2 linked regions of the Oreochromis niloticus genome follow. The protein of the gene in region 1 interacts with the protein of each later gene in a pairwise test. Links are inferred from orthologs where the notes say so. Each region holds a gene or a part of one and is shown on either strand. Other genes may lie near its edges. The genes, in order: utp25 and rufy1.

Region 1 (9,701 bases):
AAAAATAATTCATAAAAACGAGAAACTGTGAGAAAATTTTACTTAAAACATGTTTTTTTAAAAATGAACAAATTAATAAATAAAATGGAAACTTAAATGGAAAACTAAATAAACAGGAAGATAAGCAGAGTGAATCGCCACCACCACACGCACTCCCGTGTTCAAGTTTACACCGATGACACCTGTCAGATCATCCACCTGCAGCGTGTCACAGCCTGCACAGCACGCGCACGGACACAATAAAAATCAACAACACAGAGACTGTAAGAAAAAGGAAAAAGAAAAAAGAGAATTGCCAGAAAATTCTACCTCCTCTCTGGTGTCCTCCTCGAAAACGGTGGTGGTGCTGCTTTCACTCGCTGTCGCAGCTGATGGTGGAGAAGACATGGTGCTGGGCAGCTACTGGTAGTGATGACAGGGCGTGGAGGAGGGAGAAGAGGGAGAGATTTCACCACCTTTGCTCCACAGCGACCCTCAAATGAGACTCGTCACATCTGCTGTCGTTTAGAGGCATTTACAGCCGGTGATCGGCCAAAAAAGAGCATCTGTACCTTCCAGCTGCTGGGAAACGGGTTAAGACAAGAAAAACAATACGCGGGGGTGTTTCTACGGGAAATCCCGCATCCTGCTGTCTACGGTTCAGCTGTCAGTGCCGCAGTAACATGATGGGAGATGTGCTGTATTAGCTGGTCGTCGTTACTGAAGGAGCGTGCCCTGCCCCTCGGGGCCCGCTGGGTGCGCAGGAGGCGGCCGGAGAGCTGGCGGGGTCGCTGTCCATGGTGCTGACTGAGGTAGACTGAGGTACCGGGAGATGCTGTTGCATAAATCACTTAAAGGGAAAGTCCGACCTTAAGCGAGTCTTAAAATGTGAAGCTGCACCGCTTTTCAATGCAGGGAAGGAAAAACAGAGTTTTTCGCTTTAACTCAGTAATCCGATGACACTTAAAGGTTCCTCCTCAATGTGCCGGCTCATCAGCTTGATCAAGGTGTCATGGTCCCAGGGTTTTGTTCCTTATTCATGACTTTTGATTTCAGTGCTGTTGTAGAGGGGTTTTTTTTTTTTTTTAAGTTTTTGGATTCGTGGATTCAGGGTTTTTAGTCACGGTCTGGGCTTTTGTGTTGTTTGAGGGTTTTTCATTCTTAATACAGTTGAGCTTTTATTTTTAAAACTGTTTTTTCAGTTATTATTATTCTGCTAGTGATTTTAAGACATCATCAAGTCTTTGATTCCTGTCTTCAACTTTATAATTTTCCAGTTTTGTGATTTGGGGTTTTGATTTTTGATCCTGTGACTTTCCAATTTCTGTGTTTTTGTTTTCCACCATTATAACAAATCTCCGTTTTGCCCGCTCCCTGTGTAGGTCTGTATGATGTTTTCCTGCCATGTTCCCTCCTGAAATAGTTCATTAATTTTTAGAATCTTTCTTTCATCTCTCCTTGTTTGGTCATTTCCTTTTTTCTTATTGATAGTTTCCTCTGCTCGTTTCTTTTGGGTTTTATTTCCTCCTCTTCTGTTTTCTATTCCCTAATCAGCCCTCTGTATATTTATAGTCATGTTTTCATCTTTGTCAAAGAGTCTGTTAAGTCAGCAAAAGTATAAAACCCACAAAAACACAAAGCCCAAAAAAGTTTTGAGTTTCTTCAATTTGTGGATTTTTAAAATAATTTTATTATTTAATATTTATTTTTGGTTGACACTTTCCGCTTATTTCAGTTAGGATTCTGCTTTAGATTACTTATTTTAGACTCTCTTTTTTCTTAACTTTTCCTTTGTGTTTAGTTACCTCCTGTGTTATTTTTGACAGTCACATTTCCTTGTGTCTGGTACAAAGAGTAGGTAAAAAAGTAATTTTTACAGATTTGCTTGTTTAATTTTAAACATGAATTCCACCAATAACATCAGTTATGTTGTAAATGATATATTATGTAAAATGTTTTCAAAAACCTTGATAAGTCCATAATAAATGTAGTTAACAGGAGTTTCCAGAAACGGTCAAGCATAAAATCTGCTGTATGAAAATGCATTTAACTATTATAAAGGTTTTTATATTTACAGTTTACAGTATTTGTGTGAATCTTGTGTCAAAGATGATATGAAGCACATTCAATCTAGAAATGAATACAAAATCTTTACAAACAGAAAAGACCTGTTCATACATGAAAGACTCCATGAAATATCAAAATCATGTCAGATTTTAGGTCAAAAATAAACTCACAACTTAAAAAATACAATCTACTTCTCAGAAATTCAGTCAAAATCTCAGAGCAGTTAGTAAAATTGTTTTTCAGCTGTTTGGTTTAAATCTTTACTGAAACACATGAAGCACATGTTGGAAAATTGTGGATCATTTTTGAAGGGCTGTTCATCCATCCATTTTATTCTGCTCATATCCAATTCGAAGGCATGTGGGGTCCCTTGACAGGTCGCTCGTCTGCCGCAGGGCTAACACAGAGACACAGAACCATTCCCACAATCACGCCTACAGTCAATAACCCACAGAGACTCAGGGAGAACACGCAAAGAAAGGCCACAGGGTGGATTCAAACAAAGCATCAATCTCTAGTAAAACTGTCTTTTAATCCTCAACAATCACTTTTTTTCCATTTTCAATGCAAAAAGGAGTTAAAAACAAAATTGTATGAACAAAATCACATTTATTTGGACAATCCTTCTTTGGTTCTTCACACAAAACAATTTTCTCTGTCAGTAAACCAGAACATTTTTAAAACTTAAGATTTGTTGGATAGAATCATATGTGGACAGGTTGTTACTTTCAACAAGTTGTAATGAAATAAGCGCCAATAAATTCCAAATTGCAATAAAATAAACGTCTGTAGTGTTAAATGTATGTACATATATTACCTCTATCCAGTTTTGTTTCCTAGTTGCCCATAAACAGCTGTGAAAAGTTGTACAAGAAGTCAAATCAAAAATTTTGTGGTCAAAAATATCCTGAAGGCACATGTAAATATGAGGCTGGGATCATGAATGACTCCACGTCACGTGAAGAAACAGAAGTCATTGAAAGGGATTCAGGGTGGAGGCAAAGCTGTAAGACAATCTTCATCCTCAGGATTGCTCCTCCCTGATGTGCCCACGGTGTGAAATCCCACGCTGTTCACTGCTTTTCCCAGGGTCTCCTTTTCTGGTGACGAAGGGAACCCTAAAAGGAAAAGCAAATAAGAGTTATGAGTGCATGAAAATCTCTTCATGGTCAGAAATATTCCATAACCTTTCAGTCTGACTTCATACATGTTAATAAAAGAGGATAATGCTTAATTTAAAATTGTTTCGGATGATGCACTGAGCTACTTACAGAGTACATGTTGGAGAGGTTGTTGAAAAGCACTTGGCCTGCGCTCACTTTGTTCCTCACTCCTCTCACGGTCCCATTCTTGCTGCAGATATTGATCCGCTTGTTGCTAAACAGCATCTCTCTCTTGGCACTGGCGTACAAAAGCAGGTCATCGGGTTCACAGCCATTCTCGTCCACGGCTGCTTCCACCACCAAACCGTTCAGGTGGCTGTTGGCCTCGCTGGTGGGGAGAGAGCCGCCCTGCTGCTCTGCCTCCGGGCTGCTGGTCGGGTCAGACTCCACAGAGTCCTCCACCGAGCCGCACCAGGCTCTCTCATCCTTGAACACCTCCGCCAAGACCCGGCCGCTGTTGGCAGACGCTACTCTAAACCTGACTGTTTTCCCAGCCTTCTCGTTCTCCTGTTTCAGTTTTGGCCTCTCCATTGAAATACAAGAATGTCTCACATGTTTTACATCCCATTCAGAAAAGCCAGACACGCTCTCTCTGTGCTGTGCAATTATCAAACAATAATATCCTCATTGATGTGTCAAAATGAGCTGAAAATACCCTGAGTACAAAAACTAGATACCCAGATGGTTAATAATTAATGAGCTTCTGCCATGGTAACCGCTAAAACAGGCAAACAGTAAATTGATATTACCATGTTCAATAATTGATCCAGGTTAGTTTTCAAACAGCTACAGAAGTGTGTGATCCTTTATGGTCGACTGGGCCAGCAACAAGGATGAATTACCCAAGAAACACCAGACAACCTCCGGTGACCTTTACTGCGACCCCCATTTTGTTTGTCTGACCCCGAGGTTATCACGAGAGCGCAGACTCGAAAGCCAAAGTAGGCAGATTGTTCTTTTCGGTCCTTTTTCTCACCTGGAAAAGGACCGCTGTATTCTAACTCACGCTTCCACTGCTGATACAAGTCAGCAGTGGGAGTCATGACAAATCATGACATGCTCATAAATACACCGTGTGTCCTTTCTGTCAGTGTGGAAGGTTATTGCTTTGTATTTTGGTTCCTGTTGTGATAGCTTGTTTTGTTGTGTTTCTTTGTTTTCAGTTTCAGTGTTTGCCTTTTAGTTACTTCATGTTTTATTTTGAAGGTTAACTTTTCCTTTGTGTCTTGTCCTAGTTTTATTTCCAACTTTTTGCAACCTCTGCACCTTCCAGCAGGCTATTTTATTTGCCAGAGTAAAACACAGTAGGTTCAGTTAAGTGTCACAAAGTAATGAATAGAGCCAGAGGCAAAACTTTAAGCCTTACCACCATCAAGTTAGTTACTAGCAACTTAACTGATCTCCTTGACCTGTATAACCCAAAAAGAGCACTAAGATCCTCCAGCCAACTGCTCCTAATACAACCAAGGTCTCGTTTAAAAGAGGTGACCGTGTCTTTGCTATTGCCGCTCCTAGACTCTAGAATAATCTCCTAGTTGATAGGATTGAATCGGAATCTATTCAATCGTTCAAATCGCGCTTAAAATCCCACCTGTTCAATTTAGCTTTTGAAGCAAATTAGTCTGACTTTCACTTGGCCTGCACTACACCATGTAATTGTAATTTTTAATTGAAATTGTACTATTTGTTTCTTGTTTCTGCCCGCATTGCGGTATTATTATGAAGCACTTTGATCTACCCTAGTCTTTTAAAATGTGCTATAGAAATAAACTTTGATTCTGGTGAGTTTTCTTTTAATGTTATGTTATTATTAAATGAGATGGAAAGCTATCCACAGAGACCAGGATTTTTATTATTATTATTTATTATTGTTGTTGGTATTTGGCTGTAATCATCGACTGTAAAGTTGATTATTTTAGAATTAGAACCTGTGGAGATTCACCGACTTTTGGAGCCAGCCTCAATTGGCCACTACAAGAACTGCAGTTTGTTTGTTTTTTTGCCGAGAATAGCTGCTTGTCTTTAAACTATCAGCGGTAACAAAAATCTCATCTTTGCTTCTGAAAGCCTCTCTGGCAAGTTGTTTTTATATCAAACCATGTTTTTCATCAATCAGGTGTTTGTTAGATTTTGGGGGGTGTTTTTTGCTTTTTTTTATTGTATTAAACAACTTTCCAGTCACTCAAGTGTTGCTAGGATCAAAGGAAAATAAGTGTTAATTGATTTCTTCTCCATTCTTCTCATGCAACTTATTAGCGAGTGTACTCCTAATGTTAATCCCAGTCCAGGGATCGGGTAAATTCGTGGCCAAACAAATAATGCGGATCATAAAGTTCCCTCTAAATAATGTCGATCCGCCAGTCTGTAATTCCACCCCGCTCCTGTAGATGGCAGAAAGCGCCCGCTGCTGGCGCACAGCAAGAAGAGGAAGAAGCAGACCCCACACGTGTTCCTGCACCAGAGTGTCAACATGGGCAAAAGAAAGGAGAATAAGCAGTTTATAACTACTTTATCCAAAAAACAGAAGAAGCACTTGAAGGAGTTTGGAGAGGAGCATCCTTTTCACGATGTGTAAGCAGCACGACAGCAACTTACGGTCTGGTTTAAATGAAGAAGCTGCTTTATATTAGCAAGGCTGCTAATTGGTACTCAGATGGCAGTTTATTCAAACTATTGCACGGATATGTATGCGTTATCAGCAAAGACCTGGCTGTATTAATATACATTTCACTAAAAAAGAGGGTCACGGGTAGTTTCTTTTCAATTTTTTAAACGTAACTGTAGTTTTTTTTCCCCCCGTATTATCTCGGTGTAAAGTACAAACAGAAATGTAGCAAACATGTTAAGTTTACGTTTTCTAAGGAGGGCAATGTGCTGATGTTTACCTGATGACGTGGATTTTTAATATTAGAAACTATCAGTGAGTTAAGCCCCTAGTAAAGCCGAAACAGTAGAAGAAGAATGGCGCATTTTAAGGGGACTCTTTAACTTCAGTCAGAACAGTTTCTCCTGCTTTGTGGAAAGTGACGCAGGTACGCCGGAGAGGCAACAACAGCACAGCCTCGCTCCTAATACCATCTGGCTGATCGTTCTATAGTTTTGCTTTTTGGTGGTACTTTTTTTACTGGTAGCTCAGGAGATGGGCTGTTACACAAGGAGAGCTGGACAGAGCCACAGAAAGGCATCAGCACCGCTACAGCACTGCGATCTGCTCCTCTGTGTGTGTAGAAACAGGAGGAGCCACCGCCAAAGCTCTAAATGATGACCTCATTCATTTTCTGGATAAACTGTTAGAATAAGACTCCATGAGGACGGCAGGAGGAGCTCACATCTAGTGGGACATGTCAGATTCTGCTGTTTTTACATTTAATTCAGAAAGCCATCCAGTGGGTTGAATTCTGTACTTTGGTGGGTCAGCTCTCTCACCACTGGTGCCATCCCTGATCTACATAAGCAGTGGTGCAGGCCAAAAGAACAATGCGTTAATATATATATATATAATAAACTGCCACTTATTGATCACAGTCTTTCCATATCAATAATTCAATTTTACAAATATGTTGTCTGAGCAGCTTCATTTCATTCTCCCTCTCTCTCTCTCTCTCTCTCTCCTCTCTCTCTCTATTTTTTTTACAGAGTTAATGAAAGACCTGAAAAAACTCAAGTAATGGAACTGGTGAGTAGAAAGTCCTAAACGTTAGTGCTGTGAAAAGTGTGTGCCTTGTCAAAGTCTGCTTTTTTCCCCGACTCCCCGTATATGTTTCTACAAATACAGTCTGGACACATTTTTCTGTTTGATTTAGCGCTTTTCTTTTGTGTAGTTTTAAGCTTATTGAGACCGTTGTTTTTGCCACATTGTATTGCACTTTAATGCTTTATTTAAAGTATGTAATAATAGGTGGTATTTATTGTTTTGGCTCCTCTAATACATGAAATTTCAAAGTTTTTTCTAATTTACCACTTTGGGCTTATGTGTCCCAATGAAGCCTCGATTATACTTTCCACATCGATGAGTCTGCTCAGGTTAGGCTGATGTAAATTTCATCGTAATACGGCAAGCCTGAGGGTCCTAGTGGACAGCTGCATGCCTCCCTGTTTTGTGTGATCAGCTATGCATGCGCTTCAGGCAGCGGTCTTCAAAGAAGTGTAACGGGAATGACTGCGGAACAAAATCAAAGCTTTAGGGTAGTGATGCCCAAAGGGTGGACTAGGCCCCCCCTGGTGGGCTGCTAAGGAACTGCAGGTGGGCCAGAGTAATAACAGAAATTCAGTTTGAAATTGCTTACTAGTATGTACAGTTACAGACTTGTATAAATGTATTTATTTATATAAAAAGGGAAATAAAACTGGTAGTAGGAGGTGGTAGTTTGTGATATTACTCTGACCTAAATTTACTGCATTTGCATTAAGGTTTGTGTCCCAGTGGCAGATGTGTTGGTGTTCACATATGACTGTATAACCAAAAGCCTGTATGGTTTATGGGTTCTGAGTACATTTTTTAAGGAAATACAATATTTCTTGTTGTATTTTGACTAGAGTAAAGTTTTAAGATTGGGTGGGGCCCATCGGATTTTCTGTGTTTTAAGTGGGCCGCACACTCTTGACTTGGGGAGTGGCTGCTTTAGCCTAAGGTTTACATTGTTAATTTGTCATTCCGACCATCTCAGGACATCTGAAGTAATGAACAAGTAATGTAGTGTATCAAATTACCTTCTTCAGACAGTAAAGTAAGTAAATAAATAGTTACTTAATTAATCTGTAATATACTTTTTTTAAATATCTATGACACCCCATCCTTGCATAAACCATCACATTTGATCCAGTTTTGAGGTTAGATTTAGGTTCAGTATTTACTATTACACACAAATCGATGATGCCACATTCAGTGAGCAGCAATAATCGTTAGGATGTAGGAACAGCATCAACACAGCGATAATAAATGGATTCATGAGCTACCTTTTTTTATTTTTAGCCGTCAAGTCCAGAACAATCTGAGTCAGAGCCCGATGAGCTGGAACCAGAAGAAGAAGAGGAGGAACCAGAGCAGAAAACAGCCTATCAGAAACTTCTTTCAACTCTCAGCCAACCAAGAGGTGAAGCTCAGAGCGAAGAGGAGGACAGCACAGATGATGATGATAATGAAGAAGAAGATGAAGAGGAGCTTCTTGGTGAAGGTGAGCTGTTTGTTTCCAGGGTTCTTTATTTCAGCAACCACTTTGGATTTCACTGAATGTGTTTGTGTTTTTTTCCATCTCAGATGAGAGTGACGCTGAGGAGGGAAGTGAGGGTGGTGATGAAGATGAAAAGGGAGAAGGAGAACCTGCAGATGGAGAGGAAGCTTTGATGGAAGCAGGAGATGGGGAGGATGACAGGAAGGAGCCAGGAGATGAGTTTGTAGACAAAGAGCATGAGTCCCAGTTCTGTCTGGAGACCAACTTCACGGGAAAAGGAGAACAGGAGGAAACACGGGATGAAGATAGTAAAGGTACTTAAAGGGTTGGAGGGGAAAAAAGATCTCTGGAATTCTTTAGTATAATTACTTAGTATCTTAAAAAACTGATTTTTGAATGTTGTCTTGTACATTTGTTTTATCAGCTCTAGATACGAGTATGGTGTGTTTTATAGTTTTATCTTGGTTTACAGACTTGTTTGTCCAGCATTTGGACACAGAGCTTGATGAAGAGGACGTGCAGAAGATAACGTCGGGCTGCAAATCAAAGACTCAGATTACGGTACACCAGTCTCATTAAATACATCTTCATTAAAGGAGACTTATAATGCTCATCGACAGCTGCATATTTTTTGTCGTAGAGTAGCTTTATGTTGCTGATCCTTGGTGCAGCCCCTCATTTTTAATCCTCTGTCTGACAGAAGCCGTGTTAGCCCCTTCTCCTTTAAGGCCCCCCCCAACTTTCTTCAGATTGGTTCCACCTCTCAAACATAGGGTTTGATTAGCAAGGAGGGGTGGACTTTTATGTGCTTATAGTCCCAAGCCATGTGCCTGAGGTGATTCTCAGTGACGTCATACGGAGCCATAAGTAAAAAAAGAAGCCTAAAACTGAGGTTTTGGCTCACAGGAGCAATTTGCACATGTTCTGGGCATGTTTAATATCGGCATCCATTATTGTATATATGTGTGTGTGTGTGTGTGTGTGTACATATATATATAACTCTAATATATAAATATCCAGAAATATTACCAAGACTTGAAATATAAAAGTTGAACTTGAAGTGCCGCTCTTATCATACTACAAAGTGTAAAGTTTCAGTCTTTGCCTTTCTCTTTCTTAGTGGCCAAAGCTGGGAACTCTGCTTTGCACCAATCCCCTGGAGAAGTTTGGCCCTATCGGCCCCCAGAAAGACACAGAGCTCCCAGTTTTCCATAAACTTGTGGAGACACGCTGGAAGGATCTGAACCAGACTTTCAATCATAAAGGGCAGGCCGAAGAGATCAGCCCTCTCCAGCTGGAGTTGCTGGCCCTCATGGGCTCC
Region 2 (9,760 bases), on another chromosome or scaffold:
ACCTGAGCATTAATAAAAGTCCAATGATGGTGAGGCACAGAGACGACAGCACCACGGCCACCACGGCCAGAGCTGTGGTGCGGTTGTAGCCCTCTCGGGACTGCGATGGCAGCAGGATAAACTGACACCTATCGCCGGAGTAATTATGGTGGCACCTGCGAAGAGGACGGTGAGGGGAAAACGGTTAATAATTGATCGACTTGAGGTGCGCATGACGTGCAGGTAAACAGAGAGCTAAATACTCACACGCATGATGGTTCACGGAGGTCTCTCAGGTAAGTGCAGGTCCCGTGAATGCAGTAATCTTTGTACTTCTTCAGGCAAGGATTCCTCTTCCTTCCCTTTCCTTTCCCCTTCTTCTTTCCCTTTCCTCTCGTTGTTTTTCCCTCAGTGTTTTCAGCCTCCAGGATGGTAGAAGGATCTTTGGGTTTGCTTGACATGGCAACTAAAGTGACAAAAAAAAAAACAAACAAGACCAACAATTACATGTGCTGTCTTTGTTACAAGCCACGTAAAAGCACCAATGCAACATTTAAGACATTTTTTTAAGTGCCTTACCTCTTGGCAGTTGCAGTTCATAGTCTCCAGACGTGCCATCTTCATACTCTTCATAATAGTAGTAGTCATCATCATACTCCTCCGCCTCGCCGTCCTTGCTGTAATCTGCTGTTGTGGTCCTCACGCCCCGGTTCTCCTCCTCTGCTCTCCTGTCTCTGGTTGTGTCCAGGAGGCTGATAACAGAGGTGTGCCGCTGCTTGTTGCTGTCGTAACGGTCTACTGCAGCACCGCTGGCCAGTCTGGACATCACTGAAGGAGCAGGAAAATCAAATGTTATGAATGAGGTCTGCTTTGAACATATATATGCCACAAAAAACAAACAAATAACAAAAACACAATCAGAAAACTCTTCCTCTAGGGGACAACCAGCAGACAGGTTAGTGCACCAAGGTGGGTGGACCTTCTTGGGCAAGTTGAAACATGTTGTGCAGGAAGAAGCTTCAGGCAGGATTTTTTAGGGATGCAGTAATTAAGCTGCTGCTCTCTCTTAGGAAATACACCGGATCAGACACTGTCCTTAGGGATTGATTGAGTCAATGCCCAGCTCAGGATGCACTCAAAAAGACGCCAAAACCATGTCCTCAAATTCGTGGACATTGAGATATCGGCCTGGCACACAGCCTTCCCCCCTCTGTCTCTCATAACACACGCACAAAATGCATGGGCAGACAGTTAGCTAATGTCAGGCAAGAATATGAGTTAAAAATAAATGTATCCAGTTACATAAAGCATGCTCTAAAATAAGAGAGATGACCCCATTAGCTCCCGAATAGGCTGGCATCATGAAAACTGTTGCCTAAAAGATTAAGTTTACACGGCATGTTATAGCTCGGTTATTATAGAGAGGATTACACTGACAGCCAAGAAAGAGACACTACACACACACGCTAAGTGATCCATTAATGAACACAGAAGAAACACTGGTTAAGTTGCACAAGCACACATGAAACGTACCCAAAACGTGAGCCAGCAAGAGCGCAACAGCGAAAATCCTCATGGCTTCCAGTAGCTTTAAGTAGAAAAATTATTTAAATTAACAAAAAAAAAATCTTAAAAAATAAAAAAAAATCTAAAAGTTATATTCCGTCCACCTCTCAGTATTCCTTCTCTTTTGGTTTTTTTATGTGGTTTTTATTTTTTTGTTAACAGAAGTCCTCTCTTCTCCTCGCGCTCCTGCTGCCGCTTTCTTCTCTCGAGAAAGACTGGCGACAGACGCTCACGAGCCTTTTAGCCTGGGTAATCACCCCGCCTCCTTCTGGGTGTTGACCATGGCCATGGGTTGCGCCGATTAATTCGTATTTTAACTCAGATTACCCATCATGTTGGTACTCCCGAGTGAAATATATGAAAGCTAAAAGAAAGTGTGCGTGTGTTGGGGGGGGGGGCATAAAAAAAATCAAGATTAAGATGATTTTATCCAAAATCATCTTAATCTTTTTTATCCAAAATCATCTTAATCTTGTGCGGATTTTTTTTCAAAGATAGAAAATAAAATGTAAAAACTGTCGGGAAATCAAAAGAAATAGGAAACTGAAACTTTAAAAAAAAAAAACTAAATTCTTGGTTCCTTTTGTACATATTGACTCATGCTTTCTGTCTGAGTGCCGTCAGGGTTTGGTTGTGTTTAATCCAGGTAAATCCGACGGTTCAAGCACTCACAGATTTAAAGTATGCGTGTCACAGAATCAGAAGTCCAAATATTAAGTAAGATACATTAACAGTCCATACTTACATTTAAGCAAGATAATTCAACAGCGACGCTGAGGAACAGGAGGACAGGAAACGTAGTAGATGACAAAATATACAACTGCAGTAAAAACTGTTGATGATGTGCTTCATTTGCCTCTAAGTATTAAAAGCGCCTTTAACGGGTACGAAATGTGAGCGCCACCACGTGGTCAAGAATTACACAACGCTGTTTTTACTTATTGGCTTCAGTTTAGGTAGTTTCCAGAGTTACAGTTAATTTCACTTGTTTCAGTTTATTTGAAAAATGTTTAATTTTGATTTACTTTTTTTTTACTTTTTGATATACTTTTTTACAGTTAGTCATGTTTTCAAAAATTCACAACAGACATTTCAATACAAACACCACTTCTCGAAGGGCAGCTGGTTCACAATACTGTAGACCTCCCAAATCTAAAGAAAGAAAGATTACAAAGCATCATCAGGCCACTGTGATGCCAAAGGTGACTAAAACTTAAGGCCTTTCCTGTGTGTTTTTATTTTCACTTAGTTTTGTGATAACACAAGTACTTTTCAGTTATCTCCCTGCCTTCCCTCTTTTTTTTTTTTTTTTTTAATTTCAGGTAACTACACAGACTTGGGTAATTTGAGGAGCAAGGTGGTGAGGTGGTTAAAACTGTCAACTCACAATGTGAAGGTTCTTGGTTCCCTGGGCTTCCTGTCTGTGTTACTTCTCTCCATGTACTCCAGCTTCTTCCGCAGTCCACAAATGTCCATTGTAGGGTTAACTGATGATTCTAAATCGACCATGGATGTAAGTGTATAGCTTAAAGTGCTGCATAAATGTATAGTTCAAATTGCTTTGAATGGTCAGTAAGTCTAGAAAAGTGTTGTATAAATGCAAGTGCATTACATTACACAGAGGAGTAATGGTAGATTTAAGTGCAAAAGGAAGGACTGCAAGCTCCTAATACGTTTATTCACTGCCAGTAGATCTTATTACTACTGGTGTCATGCAGTTCTGAGGTAACAATTATTCACTAGAAAATTATCTTTTGATAGCAATGTAAAATTCTCCCTTCAGCTCTCAAGTGCAAAAACATACCATCAATAAGTTAATATCACAAGTGCTTCAATTGGATTAAAGTATAGTCTGACTTTATGGATGGCTGTGTTAACATTCTTAGAATTAATAATTAAAGTTGGAGTCAATTTAAAGCAACACAAAATGCATCAAATAAAATTATAATAGATACACAGTACATCAGCATCACAGCTTTTGGTGTTATTACTACTGCAGGTTTTCTAGAGATTTAAGGCTTTACTACTAAGTGCATATTCTTACGATTCCCGTCATAGTAAAGCTTCTTTGGCTAAAGCTTAACTACACTGTAGTGTGTTTTGAGGTCACATGTAGGGTGGGCTGCTCACCACGTATGGAGTAATGAATTTGTCTGCCCTTTGTATTCTTAGGCATCAACCAACTCTGATGTGACTGTAGACACCGAATCTGGTGCGCCAGAATGTCATACTAAAGAGATTCTTTTAAATACACGGGGTGGAGCGAGTCAGAAACCAAGGGCACAGTGATGATGTAGGTCTGATCAGAAACGGTTTATTTCCAGGCCAGGGAGCAAGAATGAGAAATAATTCTAAAAACATAATAAAATGTTGTCAATACGCTAAAATTCCCACCGAGCCTAGATAAAACAATTCTAAAACTGGTAAAAATGCAATTTTCTGTATGCTCTAAAAATCCCACCCAGTCCCACAACCCAGGACGAATGTTCGTTATGGGTTCACAGGCCAGAAATTCCTCTTGCGGAGCTGCGTGCATGCCAGAGGAGCCTCCGATCCCCTTCTCGTCCCTTCATTGGGCCCATCACTTCCCAGCCCAGCTCGCATTCTGCACTGGAGTCCGTTGCTCGATGCCATCGCGCCTCTCCTCGCGTCATCGCCCTGTAAACAAATAGGGGCCAGAACCATCGTCCTGGAAGCTGCCCTGGCTTATAGCCATGGCGACCCTCTCCCAACACGGCTGCACCTGGTGAACAACAGTGGAGACACTACTCACAAATGCAGGCAGAGGCATACCTGTGCCCTGCTGTCAATCACAGGCGTTGTCTCCTACTGTCGCCGTTCCTGCTGTCGCTACCGGTCCGTCTCCAGATGAGGCGTCGCACCCCCACGATCAGGCAGCGGGTCCCTTTTGTTTTTTGTTTTTTAGATGAAACCTGGCCTTCATGCTTTCCTTTTCATATCTGGAGCCTCTCTCCTCCCAATCCCCAGCCAGCTTCCTTTTAAAAGGTCCCTTAAACAGCTGATAGGCCACCTCTGGACACACCCATGTCTCAGGTGATCACTATCAGCTAATTTGTCCCATGCCCAGCCAGTCCACAGTGGATTAAAACAATGTCAAATAAACCACTTAAAACCATGCAATACAAACAGAATAAAATCATGCAAATAAAAACTACACTCACAAATAAAGACTAAAAAACAGAATAAAACCAATGTAATAGATAAATACAAATTTCCACTGTGTGACATGACCATTCAATCTCAAGTAACATGACTTATTCTTCTTCTCCATCTTCTTCTTTCATCTGCCACCTAAGGGGTCACCACACCAAATGATCTGCCCTCATCTCACTCCATTGTTACCATCCTCCTCTGTCAACCCTCTGCATCTCCTCCTTCACTACATCCACGAACCTCCTCTAAGGTCTTCCTCTTTTCTCTTTTATTCTTTCCTACCTGGCAGCTGCATTTAGCATCCTTTGTCCCGTATCTCCACCATCCCTCCTCCAAACCGTCTCAGCCTGCCTCTCTAACTTTGTCTTCAAACCACTCAACTTGAGGTGTCTCTCTAAAGTAATTATTTGTCCATACTGGTCACTCCGAATGAAAATCTTTATCTTTAGTTCTGGCTCCTGTCTTTTTGTCAGCACCACCATGTCTAAACATGAATCACAGCAGGTCTACCTTCTTGTAAACCTTTCCTTTCACTTTATGCTTCTCTTACAATCGCCTCCACCAGCTTCACCCTGCCTGCGCTCTCTTCTTCACCTCTCCTGTGCACTGTCTGTTAAGTTGGATGGTTGAATCCAGGTGCTTAAACTTATCCACCTTCACTCTGCTCCTTCCAGCTTCATCGTTCCATCTGTCTCCTTCTCATTCATTCATTCAAGTATTACATACTTATGTTATGTTACTTTTTAATTTTAGTATTATCTTACTTGTTTTTTCATTTGTTCTCAGTTTGATTTGTCTCTACATTCATGTTTTTAAAAAATGTTTATTTAGGATGTATTGCCTTTTTCATTTATTTTAAATTGATAATCATTATATGTTATTTGTTTTTTGTTGTTTGTTTTTTTACATTTTGCTGTGTCTTTTAAGTGGTTCAAAGTCCTGTGAACCACACTAACCTAACACACTAACCTGAAAGGCACAACTAAAATTTCATTGACTGTAAATAAATAAAAATAAATAAAAACGCGATCTTCAGTTATTAGATATTTGTCAGTCCGCCACTCTCCAGCCAAATCCAACAGGTGGCAGTGATTTAACTCCAGTGTGCTTTGCTAGCAGCCAATGAATCAAAAGTAAAAGAATGTCAGGCCTCACAAGCGTCCGTTATTGGTCTAAGGCGATCACGTGATTTGTACACGAAAGGAGGGCGGGGGGAGGGCAAACATGGCTGACGAGGCAGGGGAAGTAAACACAGCTGTTACAGAGCGCGACGAAAAACAAGAACAAGATGAGCCCAAAGTTTTAGGACCAGCGACTAATGGCGAACCGGATGGTGGCAGCGAGCAGGACTGGACCGAGAGGCCGGCTCCCCAGGTCGCAGAGGAGAACAGCTGGTCGGCTCCTCTCCTGTCTCTGGCTCGTAAGGCCACGGAGACGATTAGCAGCGGGATCAGCTACGCTGCTGTCCAGAGAAAGCCCTCACAGGGATCCGCGGCGAGCTCCCCGACCGAGAATGAGGCCGAAAGTGACCTCAGTAACTCAGCGAAAAAGCTTCCAGGTAGACTTTGATTTTTCTGATGCCTGCTAGTTAATGCACTTGGAGATCGAAACATTGCAGCTGTCACAGGCACTTAAACACTTGACTAAGTGTCAGCTGTCACATCACATGACTCCAAGATCAGACTCTTGGTTTTTTTTGGTTAGTGAAGTGCTCCTTGGCTGGTAATGTGTTTGGGGTTTTTCCGGCTATGTCATCTGACAGAATTAACCTCAGAGCTTCTGCTTTTTTTCATGCTTTCTGTACAGTTGTTCCCCCCAAAGACTCAATGGCAATAGAAAGATCCAACCTGCTCAGCATGCTGAAGCTCAGCATCAGAGTGTTGATTCAGTCTTCTATGAGTCTGGGCAGGACGCTTGACTCAGAGTACCCTCCTCTGCAGCAGTTTTTTGTTGTCCTGGAGCACTGCCTCAAACATGGCCTTAAAGGTTAGACGTAAATAAATCTGACTGTTGCTGTTGTGCTATATTTATCTGCCTGCATGCTGAATTTAATTCTGCATGCTGTCTGATTCAGCCAAGAAATCCTTCATTGGTCACAACAAGTCTATATGGGGACCACTGGAGCTGGTAGAAAAGTTGTGCCCGGAGTCTGTCAACATTGCCACCAGTGCCAGAGACATGCCCGGCATTAAGTATGCCATTAAAAAACATATTTCTATAATAAAACTATAGAGATCACAGCTGTGTTTAATTGCACTTATACTGTCATTCTTGTTTGTTTGTTTTTTCCTAGGACCGGTTTGGGGAGAGGAAGGGCTTGGCTGCATTTGGCGCTTATGCAGAAGAAAGTAGCTGACTATATGAAGGCCCTGCTGGACCACAAAGACCTCCTGAGGTCAGTTACGCTTGTTTTATAGTGCATTATAAACATGGGTTTCTTCCCAGCATCCACTTTACTTTTTAAATCCCTTAGTGAGTTTTATGACTCTGGAGCACTGATGTTGGAGGAGGAAGGGTCGGTAATGGTGGGGCTGCTGGTGGGCCTCAACGTAATTGATGCTAACCTTTGCATTAAAGGGGAGGACCTTGATTCACAGGTTAGTGATGCTGTTTTGTAAGAATCAGTTTCACTCTGAGGAACAGTTGCATCGAGATACAGAGTGATCTGCTCTTCTTTCCCATTTAGGTAGCAGTCATCGACTTCTCACTTTATCTGAAAGACCCTGCCAGCAATGAGACTCCAAAAGAGTAAGCATCTACACTGCTTTACATTATTATTTTAATCAGGACTGTTCTATATTGTTATTACTGTTTAAAGAATGACCCCGTATTAACAAATCCTTGCAAATTTTTGTATAGATATGTCTCACAACTATAAGATGGTGATTGTATCGCTTCCTCCCTTAGTGATTCGAAGATGACAGCCATATTGGATCAGAAGCACTACATCGAGGAGCTAAATCGTCACCTAAGCGGCACCGTCACTGACCTTCAGGCTAAGATGGACTCTCTAGAGAAGACTAACAGCAAGCTCGTAGAGGAGGTTAGGCGTGCTTTGTGTGTGCAGCTGTGGGACTCTGTTTGCGCTGGATTGATCCTCTTTAACGTCAGCTGGTATCTGTGTGTCTTGTTTTTCTCCTTTTCCTCAGCTGACAGCCGCCACAGACAGAATCAACTCTCTACGGGAAGAACAGGAACAGCTGAAAAAGGAGAACGAGACGATCTTGCAGTCCAGCCAGAGAAAGGAGGAGGTGTGGGGAAAAAAAGTATCTGGGACTAATTGCAGCTGAAGCCCCTCCTGATTTTAAGAAGGAATGAAAAATGCCATGTTTTTATTTTTCAGGCAGTGCTTCAGGACAGCCAGGCAGAGCTGGAGACATACAAACAGACTAGACAAGGCCTGGATGAGATGTACAATGTGGTGTGGAAGCAGTACAAGGAGGAAAAGCGCATTCGCCAGGTCAAGTATCAGTGACCTCCAGGACAGTTTGAACCAACACTCCACACCTGGTGTTTTGGGGTTTTGACTCAACTCTAACTGAATTTGACTCCCTTGTGTATTAGGAGCTGGAGCGTGAACTGGAGCTGCAGGTGGGAATGAAGCAGGAGATAGAGGTGGCCATGAAACTGCTGGAGAAAGACACGCATGAGAAACAGGACACGCTGGCAGCCCTACGGCTCCAGCTTGACCAAGTCAAGACTCTCAATGTGCAGATGTTCCACAAAGCTCAGGTACAAATAGATGAGCATGATTATGACTTTGTCTTTCGCACTTACACACACACATACACACAGATTGCGCATTTGTCCAATTCATGTGGTTTCTCAGGACTCGGACCGCCAAGCAGAAAAAAAGCAGGCAGAGGCCGTGCAGCTTGAGCAGAGGATGAATGAAATGGAGAACACCATGAAGGAACTTGAGCAGAGGTATGCGTGCTTGCCCAGGGTGAGATTCAGTTTCGCGTTTACATTCCTTTAAATTGACGCTCCTCTTCATATTTTGTGACTCATAGACTACAGAGGTCGGAGCAGGAGCGCAAGCAGAACGACCAGTCAGACGAAGACATGAAGGCGGAGCTGCAAGGAAAAGTCGATGCTCTGCAGAAACAGCTAACAGATCTCGATACGCTAAGGTGAAGAATCGCAATTGTGGGCATGGAGAGGGGGGGTATTGAATGTGGTATTAAGCAGTACATAGAGAAAAGGTTCATAAAAGGGCAAAGTTGCAAATGTGATTCACCTAAAATGTTTGTTCTAAAAGTTTTCTAAACATTGTGTAGCCCGAGTCCATGCAGTAGTTTGCAGTTTGATGACTTGAGAGTCACGTTTTTGTGTTGTCGGAGCACAGGCTGGGGTTGGAGAACGAGCTGCGCAGTGAGAGGGAACAGAGACAGAACTTGCAAAAAACTCTCCAGCGGGAGCAGGACAACAGCACCGAACTGCGCACACAGCTGCAGCAGCTCCAGGGCCTGCACTCGGTCAGCATCTCTCAAACACACACGCAACATGTGTCAGGTTACGCTTGCTCGGATCTAAATAGCCGAATTATAGCGATGGAAAAGAATGTGTACACTCTTGACAAATGAAGTTTTATTTTCAAAGTGAAAGGCAACCTACAGCTGCAGCTAAGATTACTCTTACACACAGGCATAAAATACTGTAATCCAATGCCAACATTAAAATGTGTGATTGGCTTTGTAGAGACCGCTTCTAGACTCTAGCAATGAAGCTGAATTGGCTGCAAGTCAGAATAAGATTTTTTTTTTTTTTTCTTATGTTGATTAAAAATTACTTTTTGTAATTATGGCCTTCAAAATGCAGCAAAACCTTTCACCACCAGGGAGCAGTGTTTTACCAGTGGGTGTGTTGAGATGTTTTTGAATGTTTGGTGCTATTCTTTTAACTTTAGATACTCCTTTGTGTCCAATGTTCCCTCTAATTTTTCATGTGTCTGAGCGAACACACAAACTCCCTGAGCGGTCCCTTGGACCACTGTGAGCGACATCAGACGTGTGCACTGTGGTCACGCCAGCATCTAATC

Evidence for each region.
Region 2: the proteins of utp25 (region 1) and rufy1 interact in binary tests that used the Homo sapiens proteins (3 or more experiments, as listed by UniProt). The link is inferred for Oreochromis niloticus from reciprocal best matches to the Homo sapiens genes UTP25 and RUFY1.

The regions. Positions count from the first base shown.
Region 1 is NC_031983.2:24,834,428-24,844,128, forward strand, and holds the start of utp25 (U3 small nucleolar RNA-associated protein 25 homolog), read left to right. Parts: upstream 1-5,599; 5' UTR 5,600-5,679; coding exon 5,680-5,780; intron 5,781-5,843; exon of another isoform or gene 5,844-6,241; intron 6,242-6,845; coding exon 6,846-6,885; intron 6,886-8,181; coding exon 8,182-8,383; intron 8,384-8,466; coding exon 8,467-8,694; intron 8,695-8,852; coding exon 8,853-8,941; intron 8,942-9,500; coding exon 9,501-9,701. Other genes in the region: transmembrane protein 151B, read right to left, coding at 310-387; grxcr1b (glutaredoxin domain-containing cysteine-rich protein 1), read right to left, coding at 3,120-3,164, 3,318-3,740. UniProt on the Homo sapiens protein: Component of the ribosomal small subunit processome for the biogenesis of ribosomes, functions in pre-ribosomal RNA (pre-rRNA) processing. Essential for embryonic development in part through the regulation of p53 pathway.
Region 2 is NC_031966.2:28,809,012-28,818,771, reverse strand, and holds the start of rufy1 (RUN and FYVE domain-containing protein 1), read left to right. Parts: upstream 1-5,906; 5' UTR 5,907-5,943; coding exon 5,944-6,277; intron 6,278-6,525; coding exon 6,526-6,705; intron 6,706-6,793; coding exon 6,794-6,911; intron 6,912-7,012; coding exon 7,013-7,114; intron 7,115-7,192; coding exon 7,193-7,316; intron 7,317-7,405; coding exon 7,406-7,467; intron 7,468-7,626; coding exon 7,627-7,762; intron 7,763-7,868; coding exon 7,869-7,970; intron 7,971-8,062; coding exon 8,063-8,179; intron 8,180-8,283; coding exon 8,284-8,451; intron 8,452-8,548; coding exon 8,549-8,646; intron 8,647-8,732; coding exon 8,733-8,852; intron 8,853-9,067; coding exon 9,068-9,197; intron 9,198-9,760. Other genes in the region: hbegfa (heparin-binding EGF-like growth factor a), read right to left, coding at 3-155, 247-445, 559-807, 1,513-1,555. UniProt on the Homo sapiens protein: Activating adapter involved in cargo sorting from early/recycling endosomes. Regulates retrieval of proteins from endosomes to the trans-Golgi network through interaction with the dynein-dynactin complex.